Linked DNA regions of Lytechinus pictus. The protein of the gene in region 3 purifies or fractionates together with the protein of the main gene of each other region. This does not show direct contact. Links are inferred from orthologs where the notes say so. Each region holds a gene or a part of one and is shown on either strand. Other genes may lie near its edges.

Region 1 (6,997 bases), on a different chromosome or scaffold from region 3:
TCATCATGCAACTGAGGTATGTTTATACTCTAAACACTCACATTTGTATTTCTTGAATTACATCTGATAAATAAAATAAATAAATTAGATTTCTCACAGGCAGCCTCTCATATTTTCCTTTTAAGTCTCATACAATCAGACACTGTTGATTTTATTTACTCCATTCAAACCCTATTTTTACCTCAACAGATAACATATTAACGCATAATTTGCAAAATCATCATTATATACATGCATATGTATTCTAGAAAAAATCAGTATATTGAACTAATAAAATGTTGAAATTACTTAGTTAAATCAATTTTTATGTCGGACAAGGGTCTCTTTCGTTGAAATATCAATGAAAGGTGTCTCTAAAAGGACACCGTGTTCTTAATAAGGGAAATAATGAAAATTTCGATTTTATCCAGGGGCGGTATTCTGAAAATCGTGTTAATTTTCGTGTTAAATATCGTGTTATCTCTCTGATTTAACACGCCCCTAACATACCCCCAAATCGGTATTCTGAAAAGCGTGTTATCTGCATGTTATCTCATTTCGTGTTATCTTCAGCTCCTCCCACTCTGCATCTATTTAATCCAATCAAATGCGCTGTTAAAGAAACAAATCGCGCAAAATTTTCAGGGAAAAGGGGAATTGCGCGCTCGGTGACACGAAACCTGCATTGTGACATCATTTTGTAAGCGCATACAGCTAAATAAAAGTTAGGGCTGGAAATAGACACAGGGAGGGGTGATTGTGACAATTAAGAATTTAATTGAATTGAAATATTGAATTGAATAACTATATTGTCCATAGAGGAAATTCTTCTTTCACTGGTTTACACACATATGTAGATACAACGTGTATACACAGAACAGAACACAGAATGGAGTCAGACGGCGTGGATACAAAATTATGACAGGAGACAGATGCCTCGGTCGATTGGGGAGCAGGCAGGGGACGATCGCCCCTAAAATATGAGGGCAAGCATAATTCATGAAAAAATATATTTGAAATGTAAATTTTGAAAAGCATGAATAGCACTTAAGAAAAATTAAATCTGACATAGAAATATCAAACATACAAAATTGTAATTTTTTTTCTTTATTAAAATATTGGATGCGTATAGCGATCGATCAGCCAAAAAAAAAAATCACTTTTGCCCGCCCCCCCCCCTGATCCGAAGCATATAGATTGACTGGTGGGATAGATGAATTAAGGATAACCTAGAAGCATTGAGAGTTAAAAAGGTGTAATTATTGGAACTATATAACCATTGAAAAAGGGTAAAAAAATTGTGAATATTATAGAAGAGTTCCCAAATCGCCAATTCCATTCTTTTTAATTTCTGTTTGTGTTTTTTAGACGTTTTAAAGTTTCTTCCTCTCCATCCGTCTTTTTTTATAATATTGCAAAAAGTAACCAAATAAATAACTTATGAGCATTTATGATAAATATTTCAATTAATCAAAATCAAAGATGCATTTGAAGTGTATTTTCACAGGATATTCCAAAGAAAATGTTGTTTTATCATTGTTAGTAGAGAGATAGGTAGATGGAAAATAAAGCTGGAAAATGAAAGAAAAGTACAGTAAATTCTGCCAGACGATATACATATGCTCGTATATGTTCTTTTTGACGTTTGCGTCTGCTAGAAAAAGTGCAGCCATCGTCATCCACAACTTAACCTCTCCTTAATGCAGTGTTAAATGTTCGTGTTATCTTTGAACAAAATTTTAGCTAACACCAATATCGTGTTTTCTTCCTCCCTAACACCGCGTATGGGGGTTGCGCGTTGGGCCACGTGTTTTTCATGCTAACACGATTTTCAGAATACCAATCGTGTTAGCTAACACCGTTTTTGTGCTAACACGGTTTTCAGAATACCGCCCCAGTTGTTTGTGAATCTTGATTTTTTTTCCTCTTTTTACCTCATAAAGTACGCTCCATAAATTCTACAATCAGTAATAAATAAAACATTATTTGATCCCATTTTACTGAAATATATGATTTTATGAAAAGTCGTCATTCCGAAATAAAAGGTTCAGGTGACGATGAAGACTAAATATTTTTCCGATACTATATCGATATCAAACGATGTCGCGGACTTGAAAGACAAAATTGCCTTCGTGAAACGGAAAGCGCTGATTTGTCGCCAATCTTCCTATCTCGGAAGAATGGTCCTAGGACTTTCCTACGTATTGCTCATCTCGTCATGCAACAGGCCCCATGTCTGTAGAAGTATATGTCAAAATATTACAAAATATCAGACATGGAGTCCTCAAGGCTCAAGTCAGAGGCAAAGCCAAAGGTAGTAAACATTCGACCCCCTCTAAATTTCACATTTATTTTTTATGAATTTTTCAAAAGTGCCATTTTAACGCACAAGTCTAAAGACTATGGGGAATGTTTTACGCGCGTACGCGTGACACCCACAGGGATTGGACGAAGTACGCCCTCTCTAGCGTTATTAGCTAGGCCCTATATCTCTTGACTTGTAGGATGGGGGATCGGGTGTCCGGACACTTTATATTTTTGAAGCCTTCTTTTTTGTCTTAAGATTACACTAAAAATATGAATTCAATAGTTGTAATCATCTTCTATTTTGTTCTCTATAATATTTTCTAAAATTTTGTACTAAAATTTGATGAAACTTCGCTTGTAATTTTTTCCAAATGACTTTCTAAAATTGATCATCCGGACACACAACCTGTCCGGACACACAACAACTGGGTATATGATATGCAGACACATCACAAAAAATCATGAATGGGACTGAGGATGCTTCCTAGAATCCTACTACACTACCGGTACGTCTATGTAGTAGACGGAGACCGGAGTGTGCAGTACTTCAGAAACTTCATGCCTTACCAAAATAGACAAATTTCCAAAGAGTCCTTCCTTTCGCAGGAGGCGAATGTGATCCATCAACCAGACACCCATTCTGACGGTTTTTTCTTCCTACTTGCTGTGCTTAACTTGTTAACAAGTGTAAAATTCACACTCCCAAATTCAAGGTAGGCACTTATGAACCAAGTTTGAAAGGAGACTCGTAAAATTACGTCACTCTCGCCGATGAATATTCATTAGATCGTGGTCGTGCGTGTTCAATACACACTGAGTACAGCTGGCATGCAGAAAGTTATATGCGAGGAACTTTGGCTCTGGACAGAGACAAGTTGTCAAATAACGTGTGTGTGTGTGTACCATCGGCTGGTAGTATTCCATGCTGTTCTACAAACCGCGTCGGAGAGAGTGCATGGCAATTCGGTAAAACGAAGTTTCCGATATAAAGAGATAATAACACTATGTACAGTACGTTGAGAGGCAAATGTCAGATCAGGGGAGGCAGGAGTACAATGTTTTTTTTTTAGGGAAGAATAATGTAGAATAAAAGGTATTATATATAGCCAATTGATCTAGGTGAGGGATTAAGCTTATAGCGAACAATGATGTTTAAAAAAGAGAATGAATATACCTTACCTGAATATTATAATGGTGAAGCCAATTTAAAAGGAGGTGAGGCAAGTTTCAATGGAGGTTTTTAAAAAGAATAAACTGTACTACAAATTTAAAAGGAGGCGAGGCAAGTTTCAATGGAAGCTTTTAAAAAGAATAAACTGTATTATGGTGAAGCCATGCAATTTAAAAGGAGGTGAGGCAAGTTTCAATGGAGGTTTTTAAAAAGAATAAACTGTACTACAAATTATGGTGAAGCCAATTTAAAAGGAGGTGAGGCAAGTTTCAATGGAGGCTTTTAAAAAGCATAAACTGTACTACAAATTTAAAAGGAGGCGAGGCAAGTTTCAATGGAGGTTTTTTAAAAGAATAAACAGTATTATGGTGAAGCCAATTTAAAAGGAGGTGAGGCAAGTTTCTATGGAGGCTTTTAAAAAGCATAAACTGTACTACAAATTTAAAAGGAGGAGAGGCAAGTTTCAATGGAGGTTTTTATAAACTGTACTACAAATTATGGTGAAGCCAATTTAAAAGGAGGTGAGGCAAGTTTCAATGGAGGTTTTTTTTAAAGAATAAACTGTATTATGGTGAAGCCAATTTAAAAGGAGGCGAGGCAAGTTTCAATGGAGGTTTTTAAAGAGAATAAACTGTACTACAAATTTAAATGGAGGTGAGGCAAGTTTCAATGGAGGTTTTTAAAAAGAATAAACTGTACTACAAATTATGGTGAAGCGAATTTAAAAGGAGGTGAGGCAAGTTTCAATGGAGGTTTTTAAAAAGAATAAACTGTACTACAAATTATGGTGAAGCCAATTTAAAAGGAGGTGAGGCAAGTTTCAATGGAGGTTTTTTTTAAAGAATAAACTGTATTATGGTGAAGCCAATTTAAAAGGAGGCGAGGCAAGTTTCAATGGAGGTTTTTAAAGAGAATAAACTGTACTACAAATTTAAATGGAGGTGAGGCAAGTTTCAATGGAGGTTTTTAAAAAGAATAAACTGTACTACAAATTATGGTGAAGCGAATTTAAAAGGAGGTGAGGCAAGTTTCAATGGAGGTTTTTAAAAAGAATAAACTGTACTACAAATTATGGTGAAGCGAATTTAAAAGGAGGTGAGGCAAGTTTCAATTGAGGTTTTTTAAAAGAATAAACTGTACTACAAATTTAAAAGGAGGTGAAACAAGTTTCAATGGAGGTTTTTAAAAAGAATAGACTGCATTATATGGTGAAGCGAATTTAAAAGGAGGTGAGGCAAGTTTCAATGGAGGTTTTTTTAAAAGAATAAACCCTACTACAAATTTAAAAGGAGGCGAGGCAAGTTTCAATGCAGGTTTTTAAAAAGAATAAACTGTATTATGGTGAAGCCAATTTAAAAGGAGGTGAGGCAAGTTTCAATGGAGGTTTTTAAAGAGAATAAACTGTACTACAAAATTTAAATGGAGGTGAGGCAAGTTTCAATGGAGGTTTTTAAAAAGAATAAACTGTACTACAAATTATGGTGAAGCGAATTTAAAAGGAGGTGAGGCAAGTTTCAATGGAGGTTTTTAAAAAGAATAAACTGTACTACAAATTATGGTGAAGCGAATTTAAAAGGAGGTGAGGCAAGTTTCAATGGAGGTTTTTTAAAAGAATAAACTGTACTACAAATTTAAAAGGAGGTGAAACAAGTTTCAATGGAGGTTTTTAAAAAGAATAGACTGCATTATGGTGAAGCGAATTTAAAAGGAGGTGAGGCAAGTTTCAATGGAGGTTTTTTTTAAGAATAAACTGTACTACAAATTATGGTGAAGCGAATTTAAAAGGAGGTGAGGCAAGTTTCAATGGAGGTTTTTTTAAAGAATAAACCCTACTACAAATTTAAAAGGAGGCGAGGCAAGTTTCAATGGAGGTTTTTAAAAAGAATAAACTGTACTACAAATTATGGTGAAGCCAACTTGAGAGGTGAGGCAAGTGTAAAATGATGTTTTAACAAATAATGGATATTATGTAGAAGCAAACTTGAAAGGAGGTGAGGCAAGTGTACAATGATGTTTTAACGAAAAGGGTATTGTAAAGCCAACTTGAGAGGAGGTGAGGCAAGTGTAAAATGATGTTTTAACAAAGAATGAATATTATGGTAAAGCCAACTTGAGAGGAGGTGAGGCAAGTCTACAATGATTTTTTTTTAAAGAATGATAAGTGTAGAATATAATTCAAATGATGAAGCCAACTTGAGAGGAGGTGCATGAGGCAAGTCTACAATGAGGTTTCTAAAAACAATGAATAGTGAAGAAATAGATTGCAATTGCTTGTAATAATCCACAAAATTGTGTAGTTACTTATTTCATGCAAATTGATATTAATTGATTATGCTCATTTGTGCATAATTAGTATACTATACCAATTCCTCTAACTCCCCAAATAAAGCTCCAAATGGTCTAATTTTTGGTTTAGAAACTCTTTGTGGTGTTTTTTTTAATAATTCTTGGGTTTTGTACTTTTGTATTGCATTGTTTTTTTTTTCAACGAACTTTGCTGGGACTCTCGTAACAGCATAAAATAAATCAGTTTAGTTCAACAAAACTAAAAACAATTAGGCATTTATGAATTTTGGTTGAAAACGCATATTCCATTGACGTGGTATACACAAATATCACAATTTTGAGTCATTTTTGTCTGATATGTACCTTCAAATTGTTTGGTAATTTTCAGAACCCAGTACCCGGGCTTCGCAAAACATGCAAAAGACTTTTTTTTTAAATCACAGAGCTCAGAGCCCCCCCCCCCCCCCCCCCCTGCGTAATTAGGTTAAGTATGCATTAATTTTGAACATTTCTATTCCCCAAATATGTAATATCCCCTCCCCAAAAATGCAATTATCACTGAAATGGAATATACATAATATATTTTTTGATAAGCCAGGTTATGCAAAATAATCATCACGTCGTCATCCTTTGTCAACAAGAAATCTGAACATGTCCTCTGGAAAAAAAATAATACCTCGGCCGCCTATTAAATTCTAAGTTTTCATTTTGTAAGTATTTTACTTAGCAATTTGGCTGGCTTAACAAAATGCTTAAACTTGATGCAGATCAGATCTCAGAATTTACCTTATCCAAATTGAAGTAAATACTAATACCCATTGTGATGTTATAAATTTTGAGCCAAATAGTGCCAAATATGTGAATGTATTTCTGTGCGTATCATTTTTGTATATGTAGACTTAAGACTAGTAGATGGCTGACTTACATTTAAGCAAAATATTTAGCCAAAAAAAAATGCAATTGAATACCAAAGATGGATAAGTACTTTACTTTTGCAAAATACTGAGTAAAATATACTTAGAATTGTGGTTTTAAGAGTAGCATTGAATACCGGCCATGTTCCTCATCATCATTATCATCCCACTACCACACCAGTTTCTGCAGCACAAACTTTAACTTTCATAGGTTGAGTCCATTTCAAAGCCAACACTGTCACTTTAACTTTCTTTTTTCTCTTATAACATGACGTCCACACACTGCCAATCACATCATTACAACACCAACTGTCAGAGGACAACAGAACTGCAGTTACCA
Region 2 (7,080 bases), on a different chromosome or scaffold from region 3:
AAGTAATAAGTTTCAGCAATGATTTGTATTAATATTGCTGATTACATTTATATATTGATCATAAGATGTACTCTATCGCATGCATTAAAATGCAAAAACATGTATGTAAGGCAAATCTTTGAGAGAAGCGGCATGCTAGCTCAGGATGAAGCAGCATGGGAAAAGTTTGTCCATGAGGTCATCAGAAATGACTCAACAGCACATACATGTATTATATTGTTGTGTTGTTGCAGGAACGCCCTTAGCACCATATTTTCGCGCAGCGAAAACTCCCTTAGTTGCGCCCATAAAGGCATTGCGCAAGGGCGTTTCTGCACTGATAGGGTACGCGGAAGTGTGATGCTAAGGGATATTCCTGCACCACCACCACGATATACAAATGATATAGAACTCAATTGCAGTCGATATGACAAAATATAACTGACCATCATGGGAGTCCATAGCTTCTTGTGAATCAATGAGAATGGGAAGTCCGTTCTTGACCCGGTGAATGGCCTCGGTCAGCTTCGGGTCAGAGGTCACTTTCAGACCCTTCTCCAGGATACTCAGACATTTCTTAACATCACCTGAGGGGACAGAAACATGAAGTACAGTATTTAATATTGATCAGTCATTTTTAAAATGTTGTGTTGTGCATGAAAACAAATAACAAAAGACATGTGCAACTTCTAATTCTTGAACAACATCTGGGTCTCGTAAAAGGTTTAGATGGAATGTTTTGATAGGAAACAATGATTCTGACTGATTCAAGGATGGTCTTTTTAACAAGGTGTGCGTGCAGCACTGATTTTTCAGATCGTGGGCCATTGCCAAGTCATGCATTTCACGATTCATACGTGCAAGCTTGCATTTCATAACACATTGAACACTTTCATACTCATTTCATAATTATTAATAACTGAATTTCCAATGCATCTCACACTTAACATTCATGTATTATTTTATAATTGAGTATTTATTACGAAAAATAACAATTAACCAAGTCCATCTATAGGGTAAATGGAGTTAAATACAGAAAGCTCATACAAAATTTGTTTTTGCCTAAACACAAGCCCATTCGGTGTGTAATTTATACAACCAAATCCTCACTGGACTAACATAAAAATAGTTTCATTTTGATTGATTTACTAGAAATGAACTATCATGGACTTCGGCCATTCTCATATACTATATTATTTACCATGGGTTTCTTCAAACTTTGCAGCCTCCAGATGAACAATGGCTTGCTTTCTGACATTGGCCCGGGCAAACTTGAACATCAAGCGTCCGTCATCCACATCACGGGTACTAGGAAAGAAACAATATTTAGGATTTATGCCTCGTTTACATGTACATATCATATGCAATATTAAGTGAAACTTCAGAATAAACATAAATTTCACATTTTATATCCCATTTGGTTGAAATTTCAGATATGCCTGCTTGATTTTCTCTGTATGTATTATTCCCATCGACCTGTTGAGGTGAACATAACCTGTGAGCAGACATAGTCTCACATTTTAGGCAAGAGAATCCCACCTTTGGGACTCTTGTTCATCCTCTAAAATCTTCTTCTCACGCCTGTATCAGAGTCTATCCTCATACACATACATAATGCCTGTGACCACATGCCGAGCAACATGAAAGTCTGATGCATACATGTAGCTGGTCTTTGAACTTGGCATCTCTGCGTGAGTGAATATACACGTACAGAGCCCTGTAACACAGAGGTTAGTGATTAATCGCTAAATGAAATGGCCTATCATGATCATCGTTGCATGTGCATTTTGCTCAGTAGGCCGACGAAGAACCAATCAGAACTGATCTTTCAAATCAGCGATTGATCGCTAACCTTTGTGTTACGGGGCCCCAGAATGTCAGAACAACTGATGCTTACGCTTTGAGGTGAGCAAGCTTGATGAAGATCCTGGCGTAGGCCGGGTCGTCGCGGTACTTGTCGATGGGGATCTGCTTAGTGGCACGGTTGTAGGCGAGACTCAGGAACCTGTAGCGACTGGTCTCCTCTGCATGTAAGGTGTGTGATTCTACCAGGGAGAGGTAAGCGAGCCATTCATTGGGTTTGTTACCATGCCTATCAAGCTCTGACATCCATTCTGTGTGGTCTGTGAATGAAAGAGAACATTCATTTTTTATATGGATCAATACAATATCATCTGGGCTATGTAACACAAAGTTTTTCAATCAATCGCTAAATACAAATTACCAATCAAGATAATCGTTGCATGCGCACTCTGTTTAAAATACTGACTGGGAACAATCAGCGTGGTTCTTTCATATTGGAAATTCATCGCAGACCTTTGTGTTACGGAGCCCTGGTGCCCATTGCAGAAAGATTTTCAATCAAACGCAACTCTAAAAATCATATGCAACTTGATTTTCATCCATTTATAATCGTGCATTTGGAACATTTTTTTACTTGCGTTTAAACTAAAATCTTTCTGCAATGGGACCCAGGTGCGTTTATCACAAGGCAAGTAAGTTTTTATCTTTATTTTCTGGATGATCATCATTGCAAAATACAGAGAGAACCAATGTATCTATGAATTTTTGAAAGTCTGATTGTGCTAACAAAAGATATTGTTTTATAAAGTTCTGAGTTCAAAACATGCCCCTTTTTTAATCAATGGTGGCCTGACATCTATTTTCAGTTTCCTGAGGGCATTTCATGTAATAAATAGTCAAATATTTTCACAAACTATTTGTTGTAAGCTGATGAAATCATTGCATCTGATTGGCTCAGACTGAAATATTCAGTTAAAATCAATGAGCACTTGTTTCGTGAAGTGCTTCCATCATGTCCCTGTGCTACTGGGCCGCTGCTGATAATAATATTGAACCTTTGGTATACATTGAGTGCCACATAATAAACTTTAACTTGCCTGTCATACTGTGAAAGCTGGCCAGACTGGTCAGGTTGCCAGTGGTGTTATCCCGTGTGTTCCCGCTCATCTTGGCAATGTCTCCTCAGACAATGCAACAGCAACAATCTGCTATACACACAGGATAAAAGAATATCATTTGTAAAAAAAAAAATAGATCCAATCATTGTCAGCCGCTAATGCACTACAGTAGCTACATGTACATGTACACTACACAGTTTGTGCAGAGTACAATAGTTACATTATTTTAATGAAATATTTTCTAGACAGTAATAACCGTGATACTGGTACGATTATTACGGTATGTGAAATAATTGAAACTATGCAATCAATTGCCTTGCATTGCGATTGAATCACATCACCAGCGTGCTTGGAAGATTGTAGCCTAAACACCGGTGGATTTTTGTCGGTTTCAAATTTTGCTAAATTGCATGTACATGTACGTCAAGTAATACAAGGTCGATGGCATCATTGCAGTGCCTAACAGGGAAGTGATTAACAAACTGTGGCAACCAATTTGGTAATTCCCTGACTCTGTTTTTGTTCTGTGTTACAAAATATGCCTGGCTTCAAGTCATCAACATCAGATGTCAATTGAGAAAGTTATGACATTTTTAAATATCTCTGGCACCGGAATTCACAGAACAGTTATACATGTACGCACATCCTAGCCGTATGTGGATGAGGGAACAGATGTCACAAACTCACTATTTCATTTAATTGTATTTTACATTTCAAGTAACTATATGGAATATTATTATTTTCTCCTCATTTACATTTTCAAACTACAATGTAGAATCTATTACTTAGTTTCACTACTGTAGGTCTGTAACTGGAGACTTCGCTCTAATGGCGGCTGGGGATATTAACATATTTAGGTATTACATGCAGATCACAGAAATTAAGTTCTATGGTACCAGTCCATTCACTGCCTTTGTTTGTCAGTGTTGGACTGTTGGTGTCAGGGACACCCCCCTCCCGCAACCCTCCCCCCGTGCGTGCTTCGCACGCACCGAGGCCACTGCGCGGCTTCGTCGCTTCGCGTCGCCAAGCGTCAGAATGAACCTGGCGAGAACGTTGGTTGGTGATACATATATGTATGTATCTTTCCACTCCCAATGACTTTGTCAAACAAATAAGTGCACACACACTGTACTGTACGCAAGGAGAGTGGTGAAAAAATACAAGGCCCGATTTTTGCCCAAAAATGTAGACCAAAGGAAAAAGATTACTTTGTTTTATGTCCAATCTGAATCTTGACAGATTTTCCAGAATCACTACTGTTGTAGATTTATCTGTGCCACACAATCTAACATTAGTAGCATTTTCTTTTTTCCCCTTTAAAGTCAGGCTTTGACAAACGATTGATTCAAGGCATCCACTAAACAAAGAGGCGCAGCATTGTGTGTATTAGTTTAAAAACAAAGCTTTACGAGTGTGGGTGCTTGCATCTCATATTTTTCTATCCAAATTATGACTGTTACTGATAATAATTACAGTAAAGTGAAGTAATTATATTTTTAGTATCAAGATGCTGGTCAGAAAATGAGGATAATGTACATGTAGTCCAAGTTTACAGGGACTGTCTCACCTCAGTTTTCAAAGATTTCTCCACACAAGAAAAAAACTGAACATATTAAAAATATCTGATATCAATATCTTACAAACTGCAAATTTTATGTTCAATTATACTAATCACTTGGTTCCAAGCAATTTTAATTCAATGTTTATACGCAATACCCAGGTTCATGAACACAATACCAGAGGTTCTAACAATTTTCATCTTAGTAATCCCAAAACAGTACTTGCTTATAAATCCATTAGACATAGAGGACCTGATGTTTGGCACTCGCTGCCTTGTGAAATTAAAAAATGTTCTTCGCTTTATTCTTTTAAACGTAAGCTAAAAAAACACATTATATCATCATATGACTCATAAATCTTCTTAAAGTGTATTTTGATAATTTATATATTGTTACACTGGCTTCCAGTTCCCGATGGGGGAGGGGGGGGTTAGGACATTCGTATTTATATTTTTTTCATCCTGTTCATGTCATCATTTTAACCTATGCCAATATATGTATTGCCATGATGGCACTCGGGGTCTGCCTCGTCAAGACCTTTTGGTCTTTTGCAGTCTCCCAAATTTCATTTTATATTTATGTATGCTTAATTGTTTTGTTGTATCTTGTATTTTTATTGAATGGAATTTGAATAAATTGAATTGAAAAAAAAATGTGGTTTAATAGCAAACACAAATTTAACATCTGCTCAGCTCAGATTCGATATTAAAAAGAAGCAATCAAAAAGTAAACTTAGAATTTACTCATGATATGATATATGAAGAAAAAATCACACAAATTCTTTCTTACATCATTATCTTTACCCGTCCATAATCATGATGTAATTTGTCACGCTCAAAAACATTTTTTTTTTTCGTGGAGGGGTAGTAACTATTATGCGACAAGTGCGATGCCGATGCGAAGAAAACGGTTGGTAAATATTATATACAATAATTGTAATATCATATTCATAATTTTCATAATAGCAAGTGCGAATTTTTCTTGATTGTGTTTCCTCTAGATGTCATTTTTAAAGCACTTAAATAAAGGTGTCCGGCAATACTATAGGATACATACCTCGGGCGATGTTCGTGCAGGCTCCACTCCACTTCACTACCGCTACACTCCGCTCCACCTACCCAAACATCGGGACCTTGAACCATTTCGGATATACCGAGTCACAAAGGTGGGATGGCAATCATGATAATCGTAAAAATTAAACAAAAAAATATAACGAAAAAGATGATTGACTTAATATCTTACTCTACACCCGTATTTCATTCCGTTTCCATCCTCCGGTTATCCTCAAAATTGGTGATTTTGGGCAAGTATTTTTTTTTTCACACGTACATGTATTATTCACGGCCGATTTCAAAACATTGCATGCGATCGCGATCTGTCGCAGGTCAAACCGATCGCGATCGCATGCAATGTTTTTAAATCGGCCGTGAATAATACGTGTGAGGAAAAAGATACTGGCCAAAAATCACCAATTTTGAGGATCACCGGAGGATGGAAACGGAGTGAAATACGGGTGTACAGTAAGATATTATTAAAGTCAATCATCTTTTTTGTTTTATTTTTTTTTGTTTAATTTTTACGATTATCATGATTGCCATCCCACCTTTGTAACTCGGTATATCCGAAATGGTTCACGGTCCCGATGTTCGGGTAGGTGGAGCGTAGTGTAGCAGTAGTGAAGTGGAGCCTGCACGAACATCGCCCGAGGTATAGGATACACTCCCGGGGGGGCCACTTCCATTGATGAGTGGATACCATGCGCGACCATGGGGTCTCGAAAAGCACCCTAAACACATATTTTCCATATTCTGAAAATGCACCCCTTAACAAGTAATGGCGTCTGAAACCCTACCCTTAACAAGTATTGGAAACAAAACGATACTCTACTCCCTGAAATGAGCCCCTTAACGAGTACAGCGATATTTTATTGTTATGTCACGGGTCCGTCGGTCGTCGGTTTTACCTTTACACACCATTTGGTTTAGTATGGCCCCACCTTCCACACCTCGCGCAAATTGGACTCTAAACACGTAGTGTTGGGGCAAAAAGGATATCCTTTATAAAACATTTTAAGTTTGTTTTATCATCCCCGCAAATTTGACCCTAAACACGTAGCTTTCCTAGCGAAATAGATACCCTTTTTTCATTATTTTTGTGTTTTTGACACCCTTAAGTTTAACACGTTACGTGCGTAACGTGCCTTATCTTGAAAAAGACATCCTTTTTACGTGTTTTTTTGGTCGCGCATGGTATCCACTCGCCAATGTAATGCCCCCCCCCCCCCGGGGATACACTGCTATACCCCGGTACTACATGTATGGTAGGGGGTCCTATACCTCGAGCGAAGTTCGTGCAGGCTCCACTCCACTTCACTACCGCTACACTACGCTCCACCTACCCGAACTTCGAGACCATGAACTCGATCGGATATTCCGAGTGACAAAAGGTGGGATTTTATGGGGAGAAAATACAAAATTTAAGCAACATCACGATCTTTAAAAACAAGTACAACTAATATTCTTACTTTACACAAAGTTTCACTTCTTTTCCATGCTTCTATCAGTCTCAAAATTGATGATTTAGAGCCAACACGAAGTTCCTCACACGTAATAATTCGC
Region 3 (7,621 bases):
TTTCAAACGTCTTTTTAAATGGGCTCTTACAGTGAAAGCTTACACATTATTTTGAAAAGTGTGCGCCAGAATTGACCTAACTTGTGACAAGTCAAACTGCGCCGTACGCTGCGCTGATGGAACAGGGGAATTTAGATAATCAACATAAATCAGCTTTAAATTTTTGACTGTGTATGGTGCACCGATGATCATGATAAAGTTCTGCGTTTTGAAAAATCAACATTCAACACATCCTAATTGACCTTCTTGTTCGCTGAATATGATACTCTAAAAATACATGCACTATAATTGTAATAAAAATATTCATACAATATTATTATTTTATAAGGGAATATTCCATCAGAAATTACCACTGTAAATTCTAATATGGTTTAAATGAATAAAACTGTCGTTAATAATTCATTTCATTATTGTTTTTATTGAAAGGTAGGTAGGTTTCAAACAAAAGGCATGCATGTATTAATCACTTTCCATTTCACACTCAATAATCAAACAAAGCTGTGAAAATATACTGGGACCCGATGAAAATGGTAACTTGTTATCAGTGACTTTTCAGCATATCACTGGTACAATTACCACAACAGGTGGTTTCAAGTTTGGCATTGGAAGCTGGGTTGGAACCCAGAAGCCCATAACACAAAGCTTAGTAATTAATCATACACTTGATGATTGCACATAATGATCAATGCAATAAATTGTGAAAATCAGCACTACCGGGGGGTAAAACCCTTGCTAAGCATTGTGCTACCAGGGGCCACATATTACCTGCATAATTTTCCTAGTACTGAGAGTGCATAGGGTGCTGATTCTTTAAATAATGATACGACATCATCACACGTATTGGGCTTCATTATTGGTGATCCTGATAATGCTGTTTCACAGTCTGATAGCCTTAAAAAAATTAAAGAAAAAAAAAATTAATAATGATAATAATAGAACAAGGTAAAAATAATTGCCTATATTACAATGAAGTATTACATGCATATTATAATCTTATTTACGTTTCCACAATTGGTAAAATATGTACTTCTGTGTTGTGCATAGTTACAGACAATATGATTGACCATAAAAAAAGGCATGTTCAGGAATGAATCAAAACGAATGACTTAAGTTGTAGAAAATTATGTGGAATAACAACATGAATGAGCAAATAAATCAAAATGAAACACACAAATCCTCATTATGCAAAAATTGACTTGGTATATAGTGTACTACACTGGTGATCGACAATAATGATATATAAAAAATAGGTAATCTGACAACCACTAATAATGTGTGAATTTCTGAATTCTTCTTACTCTCGCATAAATCTTTTCTAACTATAGTACCTAAATGTCATACTTAATACTCACTTCTCTAAATCCAGGCAGCACCTGGCCATAAGGAATCTGCAAGCTGGAGTCGGACAGCCTTTGGTCTGTAGCAAGGTATAGGCACTCATTGGCTGGCCTGACCGGTAATAACAGGTGGCAAGAAGGAATAGACCCTCATCTGACCCAACTAAAACAAAGAACATGTGATATATGGTCAGGGGGGAAAAAATGGGTCTACATGTTACACTTCAGAAATATCCATTTCTTCCGCCTGTATTACGTGATTCGAATTAGCAGCTGTGCTCACTTTAAAAACAGCTACTGAATAATTATTCACAAAAGAAAACACTCATATTATACACTGGTAAAAATAAGTTAAACAGCGCTGTTTACTATGTGAATCGCACAGTAGTTGTTTAAGCAGTTTAAACAAGTGTTTAAAATCTTAAACAACCATGCTTGAATTTTCAATAATTAAATTTGAATTTAAACTTTGTTGTTGAAGATTTTAAACACTTGTTTAAAATGTTTAAACAACTACTGTGCCATTCACATAGTAAACAGCGTTGTTTAAATCATTTTTAACAGTGTAATAAAATACTACATGTATGTCCATTTACCCAATATGACCTTTGACCACGATATGTGACCTGAGACGTGTGCAAAATAATCATTCATATTTGATTACCCTTACATGTATGTCTATGTTTCATGAACTACTTGTGTAGATCCATAAACTTTCTAAGTTATGATGCCAATTCAACAAATACCCCAAACACGGCCAAAGTTCATTGACCATAAATGACCTTTGATCTTGGTCATGTGACCTGAAACACGCACAGGATATTCAGGGATACATGGACACTCTTATGTCCAAGTTTCATGAACTAGATCTATAAACTTTTAAAGTTATGATGACAATTCCACAAGTACCCCCAACATTATAAAAATTTTGTTGACCCTATTAAATGACCTTTGACCTTGGCCATGTGACCTTAAACTCACACAGGATGTTCAGGGATACTTAATAATTGCTCTTACGTCTAAGTTTCATGAAATAGATCCATAAAATTTAAAAGTTATGACAATTCCACAAATACCCCCAACATGGTCAAAGTTTGTTGACCCTAAGTGACCTTTGACTTTGGTCATGTGACCTGAAACTCAGGCAGGATCTTCAGTGATACACACGACATTTCAAAAACTTAACCTTGGTTAAGATTTTGATATTGATTCCTCCAACATGGTCCAAGTACATTGACCCTGAATGACCTTTGACTTTGGTCATGTGACCTGAAACTCAAGCAGGATGTTCAGTACTTGATTACCCTTATGTCCAAGTTTCATGAACTAGGTCCATATAATTCTAAGTTATGATGAAATTTCAAAAACTTAACCTTGGTTAAGATTTCAATGTTGACGACGCTGCCGTCGGAAAAGCGGCGCCTATAGTCTCGCTCTGCTATGCAGGAGAGACAAAAATCAATGAAATAGGTACACACCGATAACCGATAATTTACCTGGGCCATTTTGCAACTTACTGAGTCTTTTTCAATTTTTTTTTTGTACATTTCAGGGGCTAAACTGCCCTTACATCTTGACAAACTGTATTTCAACACACATACCTTCAGCATAAAGTCTCTCTGCCAGAAAGGTAGCATCTTCGTAGGCATAATGGTTTAAGCACTGCCAGATGGCCGCCTGAAAAAGGAAAGAAACGTGAATAGGACATGAAAATTGTGAAATTAAGATGTGCTGCATGCGAGAGTCACTGACTTGCACTGCACCGCGCATAATGAATGTATGCAACCAATAAGTTGCAGTGACCATTCGCTCCCGTATATGCCAGGGGAAGGGGGAGATCCCCTTACCTTTTCAGAGAGGGAAGGATGGCCTGTACAATCACCCATCCCCCCCCCCTTCAAGACAGCATGAATGTAATACATGAATTTATAAATAAGCACTGCCAAAGTGCATAAATGGCCTATATTCATTGTAATTCATATCATGGCATCTTTGTGGAAGTGGAGGGCAATTTGTTCAAAGTGCAAACATACGCCTAGTCACCTACCCCACTTTTCAAGGTAGATTACATGTACATTGTAAAATTAGTTATTGATGACATTGACCAAATTAATGCCACTATTAAAACATTAAAGGACAGCAAAATTTCCCATATCTTTATAAATTTTTACATCTATTAATTGACAAACAATTTAAAAGATAATGCAAAGGCATTTGATATTTTGTCCAGAATTTTAAAAGCTGCATCATCTCTGAATATGATTTTAATCATTCAAAATCTGTATTTTCTGCAATCTTTTCCTTTTCATTTGCATCATTGTGCTTATTCCACTTTTTTGGAATTTTTTATTGCGGTCTGTGATGGCCTGTCACAAGGCAACTTTATTCCTGATAATCAGGATCCCATCTTATTATCCTTCTCTAAGTTCTCTTCTCACCTCTAACCAGTGAGTAAATTGAGTTTTTGATGAAAAATATTGTTCTGTTTAATCCTGATTTGTTTGTTCTTTATATTTCTTTTTACATAACATGAGATATAACAAAACATTAAAAAATGCCTATAATTTGCAATGACACTGCAGTGAATATTGTCTGTGTATGCATGTAAAATAGATTACATGTATCTACCATTTGCACCCTTTCTCATCAAATCCCTGAATCGTGTGTAAAGTGAATGGGTGTTCAGACATGGGGTACCGTTTTTTTTTCAATCTGAAAATGACTGCCCGAGGTTTTTCCAAGAAAATCCTATATTTCTTTCAAATTCTTATGAGATATTTGGTACACTTACTCATAATATAACAAACATTATTAACTGAAAGATTTTGTGAAAGAAAAAGAAATTCATATATCTTCACTCATTATTAGATGCGCAGACTTAAGGACCACCATCTTACCACTAAAAAGTTAGATCTAGACTACTGAATTCATATTTTTTGTGCAATCCAAAGTCAAGACAAAAAAGAAGGCAAAATTTTAAAGTGTCCGGACACTGGACCTCCCATGCTACTGTATGCTTCTCAGAATCAAATTATTCAGAATACCAATTTCGGAAAGAGTTCTTGCGACAGCCACCCAAAATAACAAAAGGTTGTCGAGACTTCCGGTTCATTCACTTCCTGTTTCTCTCACGTTAGATCTATCTTTTTATTTTTAGTGTTTCTTAACTCAAGTCGTTGCAACTGCAGTCAAGATTCTTCCCGCTATGCTAGGGAGAAGCGCTGATAGCGGAAGGGGTTTTCTAGCGACCATAAGCCGATACTTCGACTAGTCTAGGCTTTCAGACCCTTTATGGTGGTGTGACCTTAAAGGTAAATTGTGACATTGGTTTATTTCAAAACTTTCTTTTAGATTTCACTCTTCGCTTTTCAAAATACTCATAAACAAGTTCTGAGTCCATAAAATGTATTGCATTGGCCAAAAGAACTGTTTTTATTCTCAAAAAAATATATAAAGAAGAGAAATTTTGCCAAGTGAGCTTTCTTTTGATGCAGATTTTGAAATTGATATAAAAAATGAAGAGCGCCACCTTGAGACCAAATGACATCAATACCTGCTCATGAATATTCATATCCATCGCCTCTGCGCTTGTCTCACGTGCCGATCTGTATACCGGCTATACAGTACAGTATCGGATTGAACGGCGGAGTCTGTTTGCGACTTTTTCATTCATATCCTGTAGGAGCGTGTGCATTCGCGCAGTCCCTCGACGGCAATTTAAATAACTTGGAAACAACCAAGGAACTTTTTTAAATGACCATCATAATAATTGTGATGTTATGCACGTTGTTTTTCAAATCGCGGAGAATAGGTCCTAGACGTACATCTTGATATCTGGGCAGAGTACCAGGTACCGAGAGACGGCTTCCTTCCCTTTCCTTGCTTTTCATCTTTGCTTCGTTTCTCTAGCTGTATTTTTTTTTCTTTACTTGTCCAGGGTATGAAGGGAGGGAGAATTATGGTTGCTTGTGAAAGGGCTATTCTTATTTTTTTCCCCGTTTTTTATTTCTATTTTATAATTATATTTACATACGCATTTTTGTTTCGATTCCGATTCACTGAATCGTTATCAATTTCTTCAGGTTCTGTATTTTGATTTGTTCATTATTATAACGTGTTGTAACATTTTTTTTTAAAGGAAAAGGAAATCATTTTGTATTGAACTAGCTTTGCCGCCATTCTTCATTATTTTGCTTTGTGCGTTATATAGGCCTATAAGATGCTCTTTCTCTTCCAGTGATTATTTGTCAATATACTGCCTCAATGTATTTATCACAAAAAAATGACAAATACCGCGTGGCCTATGCCTTTTTTTTTAAACAATATATTCTGGGGCGGATCCAGCTTTCACTAATAACGGGGCCGGGGTGAACAATATTTTCATCCACATTTTTCCCGATCGATCGGCAGCTCAAAGCTAGTTTTTGTTGGAATCTATAGTCGTAACAGTACTAAACCCTATAAAAAATGCGAGCGTGAGGTATTATTTTCGGACTGTGTATATTGTGTCCTGAAAATTGATCTGAGCAATATGATCATTAAACAATTAAGATGCACACTGACGGATAAGGTGCTCAAAAATTTGAATAAGTAAAGGCCTATTTAGTTCCCTTGTTCGTTTTACTATAAGCCCTTCAACAATGTTTCCGTGTTTTGTATTACATTGATCAGTTAATATTTCTTTATGTCTCATACTATTTCGATATGAATTATACCTTGTCATTGTACTTGTTACTATGATTTTATATACTAATAACTCTGAACTTGTGAACCTGTTTAACCATGACTGAATGAATAAATCAATAAATGAATTGGTATAGATGAATATATGTTCCATCGAACAGGCAATGCGAACACAAAGCGCGGGCTAAATTGTTTTTATACTTGTGTAGTGACATGATTGGCTCCCACCCCTCCCCAAGTCTGAATTCCCCTCACCTTTTTTTATTCATTCTTCCTCTTATATTTTGTCACCCCCCCCCCCCCTCTGCTTTCGTTCATATTACTTTGCGCCGCCAATATCGGGGGGGGGGGGGGGGGCGTAACGTCGGCCTCCTGGATCCGCCTATGATACCGGTGCGTAGGTCTGTATGTTATAACCATGTAACATCGATCCCCCTCCAAGTTTCTCTTTGCATTTTTCTTTTCAACTTGTTATGGTAGTATACTGAACAAGAACAAGTATGACGTCTCCTAGGTGCCTCTCCCTCCACCCACTCCTCCTCGGTCGGCTGCATGTGCTCGGATAATAAAATTACGTACTTATCATGGTGATATATATATAATAAAATTGCAAATTTTATTGCAAAAACTGCATTACTCGTGAATTTGTGTTTCGCATTTCTGATGTCTTATTAAATATATATATATATATTCGAGGACATACAGCTAGGCGGAACTATTTGGGGGAAGGGGTCTTCCATCTCTGTGTGATTCCGAAGTTCCGATGATGGTTCAGAGAATGTACTTCATGCAAAATCACGTTTTGGCATGACCTCTCAGCGCTGGGCATATCGACGGACAAAAAAATGCAAAAATGTGATGGATCGAAATGGTAAAAAATATATATTTTAAAGAAAACCATCGTTATAAAATGCAGTCATACCAACATATTTTTGTTAATACCAGTTTGAACTTAGATAAAAATTATAACCCGAGGCTATATTAGCAGCAGGGGCGGCGGAACCGGGGGGCGGCAGGGGCACTTAACCCCCTATACATAAAAAAATCCCAGTAGGAAAAAATGCCTTTTTTAAATGGAGAGTGCACTTATTTCAAAATGATGTACATGAATGTCCCTTTTCAAAATAAAATACCCTTTTTGAAGTCAAACGATACATTTTAGGTTGGAAATCACAAAATTTTTGGCTCGCGCTTCGCGCCCACATCATTTATTTTTTAGGAAGGCACTCACTTTGTTTTGGTTACAACTTGTGCTTATAATGTTCAATTTTCAGGTTTAAATGTCACAAATCTTCAGCTCGCGCTTTCCGCTCGCATCAAAGGTACACATTATGTTCTTGGTTTCAAACTGCTTAGAATATCCAGTTTTCAGGTTGAAATATTACAAATTTTCGGCTCGCCGCGCTTCGCATCAATTATTATTTATTAAGACACACAATTAAGTTCTTGGGTTAAAAAAGTGCTTAGAATGTCCAGTTTTCTGGTTGGAATATCGCGCTCGCGTCCATTCTTCAATTAGATGCACATCTTTTTCATAACAAAATTGCTCGGAATGTTTGATTTTCATGTCTTATTAGTCATGTTAGTACAAGCAATGTCTA
Region 4 (7,349 bases), on a different chromosome or scaffold from region 3:
TGAGTTGATCCATGACCGTTGACAGGTAAGCTTTGAGGTGTTCATCTGTGGTCGTCAGAAGGGGTAACTTATACATGTCGCATCTTGCAAATGTCTCTGCTGGATAGATGCCACGCTGGTACAACAAGTTATTGATGCCATAATCTAGAGAAAGAAAACACAATTACTAAACCCATTTTAACTGGGCCATTTCAGACCAACATATACTGGGGGGGGGGGGGGGAATTTCACCCCCCCCCCCCACTCAGATCTCGGCTGTTGATTGCGTGATTGCTGTGAAAATTTGCACGCACATAGAGCCGGATGTAAACTGCAAGATTATAAAGTAAAATTTTCAAAAAATTAATTGCTTATATTTTTTATTAATTAAGCAAATAAGCGTATGAAATTTGCCCTAATTTTGGTTTTTGTGTATGTTTTTGCCTTTAATAACTCAATTTATATAGCTAGTAGAATGCAAATTTTTGGTGAACATATAGATTTTTACATTTCTAACAAAAATCTACAAAAAAATTGCTGAAAAATAATTAATTTCCTATAGTCTATGTAGATCTATCTTAATTTCTTATTGTTTTTTTGGCATTATCGTGGTTTATGTCACCAGTCCATTCATTGCCTTTTATTTCGTCAGCGGTGGTGACATCTTTCCACTCCCATTGACTTTGTACACAACGATCGCACACACACCGACACACACGACAAGAGAGGTGACAAATTTCACGATAAGGCCGTTTTTTTTTATTCTTATGTATTTATTTGTTTTTTCAAACCTTTGTTTTTTATTGTTTTTTTTTATGAACTCTGTCTGGGACCCTTTTGCATTCATAAATATCATAAAATAAATCCATCTACTGATCTAGGTCTAACGTTAGACACCAACAAAAGTAAAAATAATCATTTATGATGATGATTTTTGGTTGAAAAACACAATTTGCATTGACTTAATCACGTTTTTGAGCAATTTTTGGACCGCCATGCACTTACAAAATATCGCGTAATTTCGGAAACGGGTACCGTAAGGGCACTAGTATTGAACCCGTTTGGAGAGTTTCCTCAAATATATAGAAATATAGAATTAACCTGAATTTCAGACCCATCTTATTTCCAAGACTAAAGAGCAAATACTGCATACTGGTTATTCTTTTTCCGTTATTTTTTCCTTCAACCCATCAACTATGTGTGCGGGCAATCGAATTATACAACGATGGTTTTTGGCACTAGTATTCAACCTAGCGATGAAAGATGGCCCTGTCTCTCAATCTGCCCTTGACCTTGTCCCATCCGACAATGGACTAGATCATTTGAGACGAGACCAAACATAAACAGGTAATTAATCAAAGCCAGCGCCAGAGACTTACATAGATCTAGTTTAGCAATCTAAACCATTTTGAGATTCGCTATCTATCATCACTAGGTTGAATACTAGTGCAATTCAGTGCAAAAGGTCATCGCCGCATAATTCGATCCTTCACGCATACAGTCGACAGATTGATAACTTTAAAGAAAATACCGACAACAGATTACCCTGGAAATAGTCAACTCAAAGGTATGATTCTGAAATTAAGATGAATTCCCTAATCAGACCTATTTCTAAATATTTGGGGGAATTTGTCAAAATCTTTGAATTATGCCGGGTTGAATACTAGTGCCCATACGGTACTTGGGCGAGGCAAAATCGGTCTCAAAAGATGAGCAAGACTTGAATTTGAAAGTAAAGTCAGCGAGCGACGGCGACGCGTTCAAAAAAATTTGCGCTGCGGCATAGCGGAAAATTCGAGGGGGGGTCAAATTAAGAATGCCACATTACAGTCTAGTACTCTAAAAGTTACATCTGTAGCAAAAACTCAATTACAATATCAAGGAAATTGACAGGTCGACAATAAATTAAATTTATGCAATCAGCATCATAAGATTTTGAACATGGCACAATTCACAACGAATGGGACTGAACTAACTCCATGCGCGTAACTCTCCCTCGAGCGCTCCACTGAACTAAACTTCTTTAAATTCATCGCTTCAACTGGGAATTTACCGTCATCTAAGGAATAATATCGCTTGAGTTGGAAAGATACTCACAGAAGAATTCTGCAACAATTTCACTTGATCCTTTCAAGGTAATTGTGTTTTTAGTTTTAGTAGCTGTCCCCGCCATTTTTCGATCTTCTCCGAGCTTGTAAACAACGTGATGTGATTGGTCTATATATCCAGCCTCCAGGGTCGTACTAGTCTAGACTCTGCAGGCATGTCACGTCAGACCTTGCCTTGATTCGAATAAAAAGAGAAAAATCCAACAAGCAAAACATTGAAAATTTATCAAAATCGGATGGAAAATGAGAAAGTTATGACGTGTTAACATTTCGCTTAATATCACAAAATAGTTATATGCACATCCCGGTCGGTATGCAAATGAGGGAACTGATGACATCACTCACTCACTATTTCTTTTGTATTTTATTATATGAATTATTAAATATTTTGATTTTCTCGTCATTGTCATGTGAAATGAAGTTTCATTCCTCCCTGAATACGTGGAATTCCATTATTCTAACATTTTGTGGTTCAGACAAGGAGGTCCTAATCGTCAAATTCGTAAAAATTGAAATATTGTATAATTCAAACAATAAAAAACAAAAGAAATAGTGAGTGAGTGACATCATCGACTCTCTAATTTGGATGTAACTGGCTCGTTCATATAACTATTTTTTTAAAAATAAGCGAAACTTTGAAATGTCATAACTTTCTTATTTGACATCCGATTTTGATAAAATTTTCAGCATTTTGTTGGGGTGGACTAGACCTTCAACACATCCACAAGTTTTCCACGCAAAGACTAACTTGCTGTTTCAATTCCCGAGTGAGAGGGCCTTCAGTGCACAATGCATCAGTTAGCTGCACATTCAGACCCTTAACTTGAGTGAAGGGTTTGCACAGCATACTAATCTCTAATATTCAGGGCCCTGTGCTATAGAACGATTTTTTTTACTGGGGGTGCTGATGTACGTAATTTGACAAGCAAAAAAGAAAAAATATGTTTAAAAAAAAGGTTTTCACTACATGAGTGTAGGTAATTATCGTAACCTTTCTCCATTAGTTTTAACACCTAACATAATTCCTGGGTTGCTGCCCCAGCAGCACTCCCAAAGAAAATTTTGGGGTGCTTCATCCCAGCGCCCCCGCTTCCCAGGGCCATGCTAACGGTAAATTATAATTAGAACATCTTGGCGGTATACACCCATGCTTCCGCGGGCGGACGGGATTTATTTATTACCCTTCATAATGCAATAATGCAGTAATTCAAGTGTTACCGTTTCAAGTCAGCATCTCGCTCATCGATCGCATCGATGATCGCATCGTGACCATCCTGAAAGAGGAAATAACTCGTCTAAAACTTCAGCTGTCTGAAGAGATTATGGATAATAGAATACTGTGGGATTATGTTAAAATGGAAATTCGAAATTTCACAAGAAAATATTCTAAGAAAAAAGCTAAAGAAAGAAAAGAGAAGGTTGATAAGTTAGAAAAGGAAATTATGAAATTGGAAGAGAAAGTTCAATTACAGCAAACATCATCGAACACAAATTATATTTTGATTGATCTTTTGGCAAGAAAAAGAAGTGAGCTAAAAACAATATATGCGTACTTAAATGAAGGTATTAAAATCAGATCTCGAGCCCCATGGTTTGAAAGTGGAGAACGAGAAACTGCATATTTTAAACAACTGGTAGATTATAATGGTCGGAAAGGTTTTATTAAAGAACTTAAAGTTAATGGAAATGTAATTAATGACGAAACTAGTATTTTAAAAGAAATAAAAGAATTTTATTCTTCCTTATATTCTAAAGGAGAGGTAGAACCTGGTGACTGTTTTTTTCCTAGTAACTTACCAAAACTAAGCGAAAACCAAAGAAATCATTGCGAAGTGAAAATAAACCAGGGGGATTGTATTGAAATTTTAAAAGAAATGCAATTAAATAAATCACCAGGAAATGACGGTTTAAATGTCGAGTTTTATATTACATTTTGGCAGGTAATAGGTGACCTAGTCTTAAATGCTTTTAATGATGCTATGAAATATAAAGAATTGTCACCTTCACAAAAACAAGCAATAATTACAATTATACATAAGGAAGGTAAAGATCCGATGTTTATTAGCAATTATAGACCAATTTCCTTGCTTAATGTAGATTATAAAATCCTAACCAAAATACTTTCTAAAAGAATTAAGACCATTTTGGATAATATTGTGTCAGGCGACCAAGTAGGTTACTTAACTAATAGGAATATTGGCGATGCTGTAAGAATAATAAACGATATGATTTTTCATACATCAAATTTTAATAAACCAGGATACTTAGTTGCAATCGATTTTGAAAAGGCGTTTGACTCAATTTCACATTCCTTCCTTCAAAGGGTGCTTAAATCGTTTGGTTTTGGGCCGATTTTTAGTAACTGGGTTAATGTTCTTTATACCAACTCGCTGAGTTGTGTCTTTAATGGGGGGAAATCGACCGGTTATTTTGCAATCGAGAGGGGGCTAAGACAAGGGGATCCCCTCTCCCCTTACCTTTTTATACTTTGTATAGAATGTTTAACGCATTGTATTCGTAATGATAATTTAGTAAAGGGTATTCGATTTGGTGAAACGGAAGTTAAACAAATACTTTATGCTGATGATATGACTATATTCGTAGAAGATTTAGATTCAGTATATAGACTAGAATTAATTCTTGAAAATTTTAGGAAGACATCTGGACTTAGGATGAACAAAAATAAAACGTTTATTTTGCCTCTAGGACCCTCTGTAAGCCTTACTCACCCTTTCCCTTTTGGGAAACAAGTTGATATGGTTAAAATTCTAGGTATTGTCTTTTCATTAAATCCTGACGTTGCTGAAGAAATGAATTATAAAGAAATATTAAGCAAAATTAAAAAGTTATTAAATTGGTGGAAACAAAGAGATCTAACTTTGTTTGGAAAGATTCATCTGCTAAAAACATATGCATTTTCTAAATTGATTTATGTAAGTTCTTTAACGCCTATGCCGGAATGGGCTTTTAAAGAAATTGAAGAAATTTGTTTCGACTTTTTATGGCGAGGAAAAGATAAAATTAAAAGAAACACATTGTATCTGGGATATAAACAAGGGGGAATAAAAATGCTCAATTTTAAACTTTTTGTAATGGTACAGAGAGTGATGTGGGTCAAAAGACTGGTAAACGGTGACCAGAAAGTGAAATGGAAAAAATATTTCAAATTTCTGCTAAGACCATTAGGTGGTAATTTAATTTTTTACTGTAATTTTACACCTGATATGATCAATATAAAAATTCCAAAGTACTACCAGGAAATGTTAAGTATTTGGTTTGATATAACTGTGTTCATCAAAAAGGACATAAGTAATAAAAGAAATGAAATTTTTTTCAATAACAGGTATATTAAAAATGAAGGAAAAGCGTATTTTCATGAAAATATTTTCTTAAAAAACACATACAAATTGCACCATATTGTAGATGAACACGGTGAACTTAAATCAAATACTTATTTTAGATCTATGGGTGTAAATGACGACGAAATAGTAACAATTAATGAAATATTTGCACATGTTCCTGTAGAATGGAAAGTCGAATTAAAAAATAATACCTTAGTTGATGGTTTGAAGATTGAATTTATTTTCTTTAAAAATGTTTTCCAGTTTGAGTCAGTTTGTTCAAAACAGCTGTATAGATCATGTATAAACAAGATTGCCGACACTCCTGTCAGTTTTTACAATCTCGAATCGTCATATAACATGTCTGAAAAAGAAATTGAAAAAGTATTTTATCGTCCAAGATTTTGCACATTAGATAATAAGTTAAGAGAGTTTCAATATAAATTATTATACAATATTATCTTTGTTAACCACCATTTATATAGGTTTCGATTTGTATCGAGTAATGAATGTTCTTTTTGCGGTAAAGATGAAGAAACTTATAGACATATTTTTTTACGAATGTGAAATGGTTAAAGTATTATGGAAATTGTGTAGCAATATATTAAAATTTCCGATTCTTAAAAGCTTACAGTGGAAGGATATCCATGTTGGATTAGAAGAGACGACAGAAAATAGACAATTATTAAATCATATCATTTTACTTATCAAATTTTTAATATATCACGGAAGGGGGAATCATAAACTACCAACTGCTGAAGAGATAAAAGTAAAGCTTTTTAAAAGTAAAGAAGAAGAAAAGAAAATTGCTATAGAGCGAAAAACATTAACACAGCACTATAAAAAGTGGGAACACCTAAAAAGCAATTAATTAAGTAGGATGAGGAAGGGATGGCTTTATCCGGTTTGCACACGTGCGGGGTTGGCTGGTCTGTCTGTCACTATAAACTGTCCGCTTTTCTTTACTTTGCATGTCACTTATCTCCTTTCTTTCTTTCTCTTTTTTTTTCTTTTTCTCTCTCTCTCTCTCTCTCTTTCTTTCTTTCTTTCCTTCTTCCTGCTTTTCTTATTTTTTGTATTGTTTTTGTTTGTATTGTCTAATTGTTTTGTGTCTTGTCTGTGTGTGTGTGTGGGGGGGGGTTGGGTGTGAGAGCGATTTCGTTATTTTATGGACGTGTGTGGGGAGTGAGCTCTCGAACCCTTTCCGGTTTTTTTTATATTATAAATTTCATTCAGTTTAATCAATGTCGAGCAATCAATTTTCTGCATAGCTATTGTATGATTTTGTGAATTTATATTGGTTATTAATTGTTGATTTTTGTTACTGAATTTATCCACTGTATATCATATATGTTAATACCATGACATGAACGATTATTTGTATTATGGATAATTATTTGTCTTTTGTGAACAGTGTTTTGTTAATATTGATTTGTAATATTTTACAATGTACCATTACTTTGAACTGAATGATTAATAAATATTATTACAAAACAAAAATCCTGTTCATCGTTTCAAAAAGTGCATAGAATCTGAGCTTTGGGGTCCGGATATCTTTTTTTTTGCTCGCGCTTCGCGCTCGCATCAATTGTTTAGAAAGATACCCATCGCGTTCATGGTCACAAAAAGTGCTTTAGAATCCTCAGGTTTGGGTCGGAATATCCAAAATTTTCACCTCGCGCTTCACGCTCGCATACAATGTTTAGTTCGATAGCCATTCTGTTCATGATTACCAAAAGAGCTAAGAATGTCTAGATTTTAGGTCAGATTACCAAAATATTTCAGCTCGCGCTTCGCGCTTACATCAATTGTTTAGATAGATATGGGTATACCCATCTTGCATGTTCATGGTTACAAAAAGTGCTTTAGAATATCAGGTTTTGGGTCGGGATGTCAAAAAAATTCTGCTCGCGCTACGCGT

Evidence for each region.
Region 1: the proteins of cell division cycle protein 27 homolog (region 3) and anaphase-promoting complex subunit 7-like purify together in Homo sapiens (affinity purification with western blotting; 23 studies listed by BioGRID and IntAct, with this or other methods). This does not show direct contact. The link is inferred for Lytechinus pictus from reciprocal best matches to the Homo sapiens genes CDC27 and ANAPC7.
Region 2: the proteins of cell division cycle protein 27 homolog (region 3) and dual specificity protein kinase TTK-like purify together in Homo sapiens (affinity purification with western blotting; 3 studies listed by BioGRID). This does not show direct contact. The link is inferred for Lytechinus pictus from reciprocal best matches to the Homo sapiens genes CDC27 and TTK.
Region 4: the proteins of cell division cycle protein 27 homolog (region 3) and mitotic spindle assembly checkpoint protein MAD2A-like purify together in Homo sapiens (affinity purification with western blotting; 29 studies listed by BioGRID and IntAct, with this or other methods). This does not show direct contact. The link is inferred for Lytechinus pictus from reciprocal best matches to the Homo sapiens genes CDC27 and MAD2L1.

The regions. Positions count from the first base shown.
Region 1 is NC_087246.1:28,910,634-28,917,630, reverse strand, and holds the start of anaphase-promoting complex subunit 7-like, read right to left. Parts: upstream 3,029-6,997; 5' UTR 2,926-3,028; coding exon 2,854-2,925; intron 1-2,853. UniProt on the Homo sapiens protein: Component of the anaphase promoting complex/cyclosome (APC/C), a cell cycle-regulated E3 ubiquitin ligase that controls progression through mitosis and the G1 phase of the cell cycle.
Region 2 is NC_087248.1:13,113,398-13,120,477, reverse strand, and holds the start of dual specificity protein kinase TTK-like, read right to left. Parts: upstream 3,022-7,080; 5' UTR 2,950-3,021; coding exon 2,880-2,949; intron 2,103-2,879; coding exon 1,877-2,102; intron 1,288-1,876; coding exon 1,181-1,287; intron 567-1,180; coding exon 426-566; intron 1-425.
Region 3 is NC_087245.1:15,602,451-15,610,071, forward strand, and holds the start of cell division cycle protein 27 homolog, read right to left. Parts: upstream 3,015-7,621; 5' UTR 2,939-3,014; intron 1,501-2,938; 5' UTR 1,442-1,500; coding exon 1,353-1,441; intron 892-1,352; coding exon 766-891; intron 1-765. UniProt on the Homo sapiens protein: Component of the anaphase promoting complex/cyclosome (APC/C), a cell cycle-regulated E3 ubiquitin ligase that controls progression through mitosis and the G1 phase of the cell cycle.
Region 4 is NC_087262.1:14,784,655-14,792,003, forward strand, and holds the start of mitotic spindle assembly checkpoint protein MAD2A-like, read right to left. Parts: upstream 3,015-7,349; 5' UTR 2,653-3,014; intron 2,416-2,652; 5' UTR 2,153-2,415; coding exon 2,077-2,152; intron 145-2,076; coding exon 1-144. UniProt on the Homo sapiens protein: Component of the spindle-assembly checkpoint that prevents the onset of anaphase until all chromosomes are properly aligned at the metaphase plate.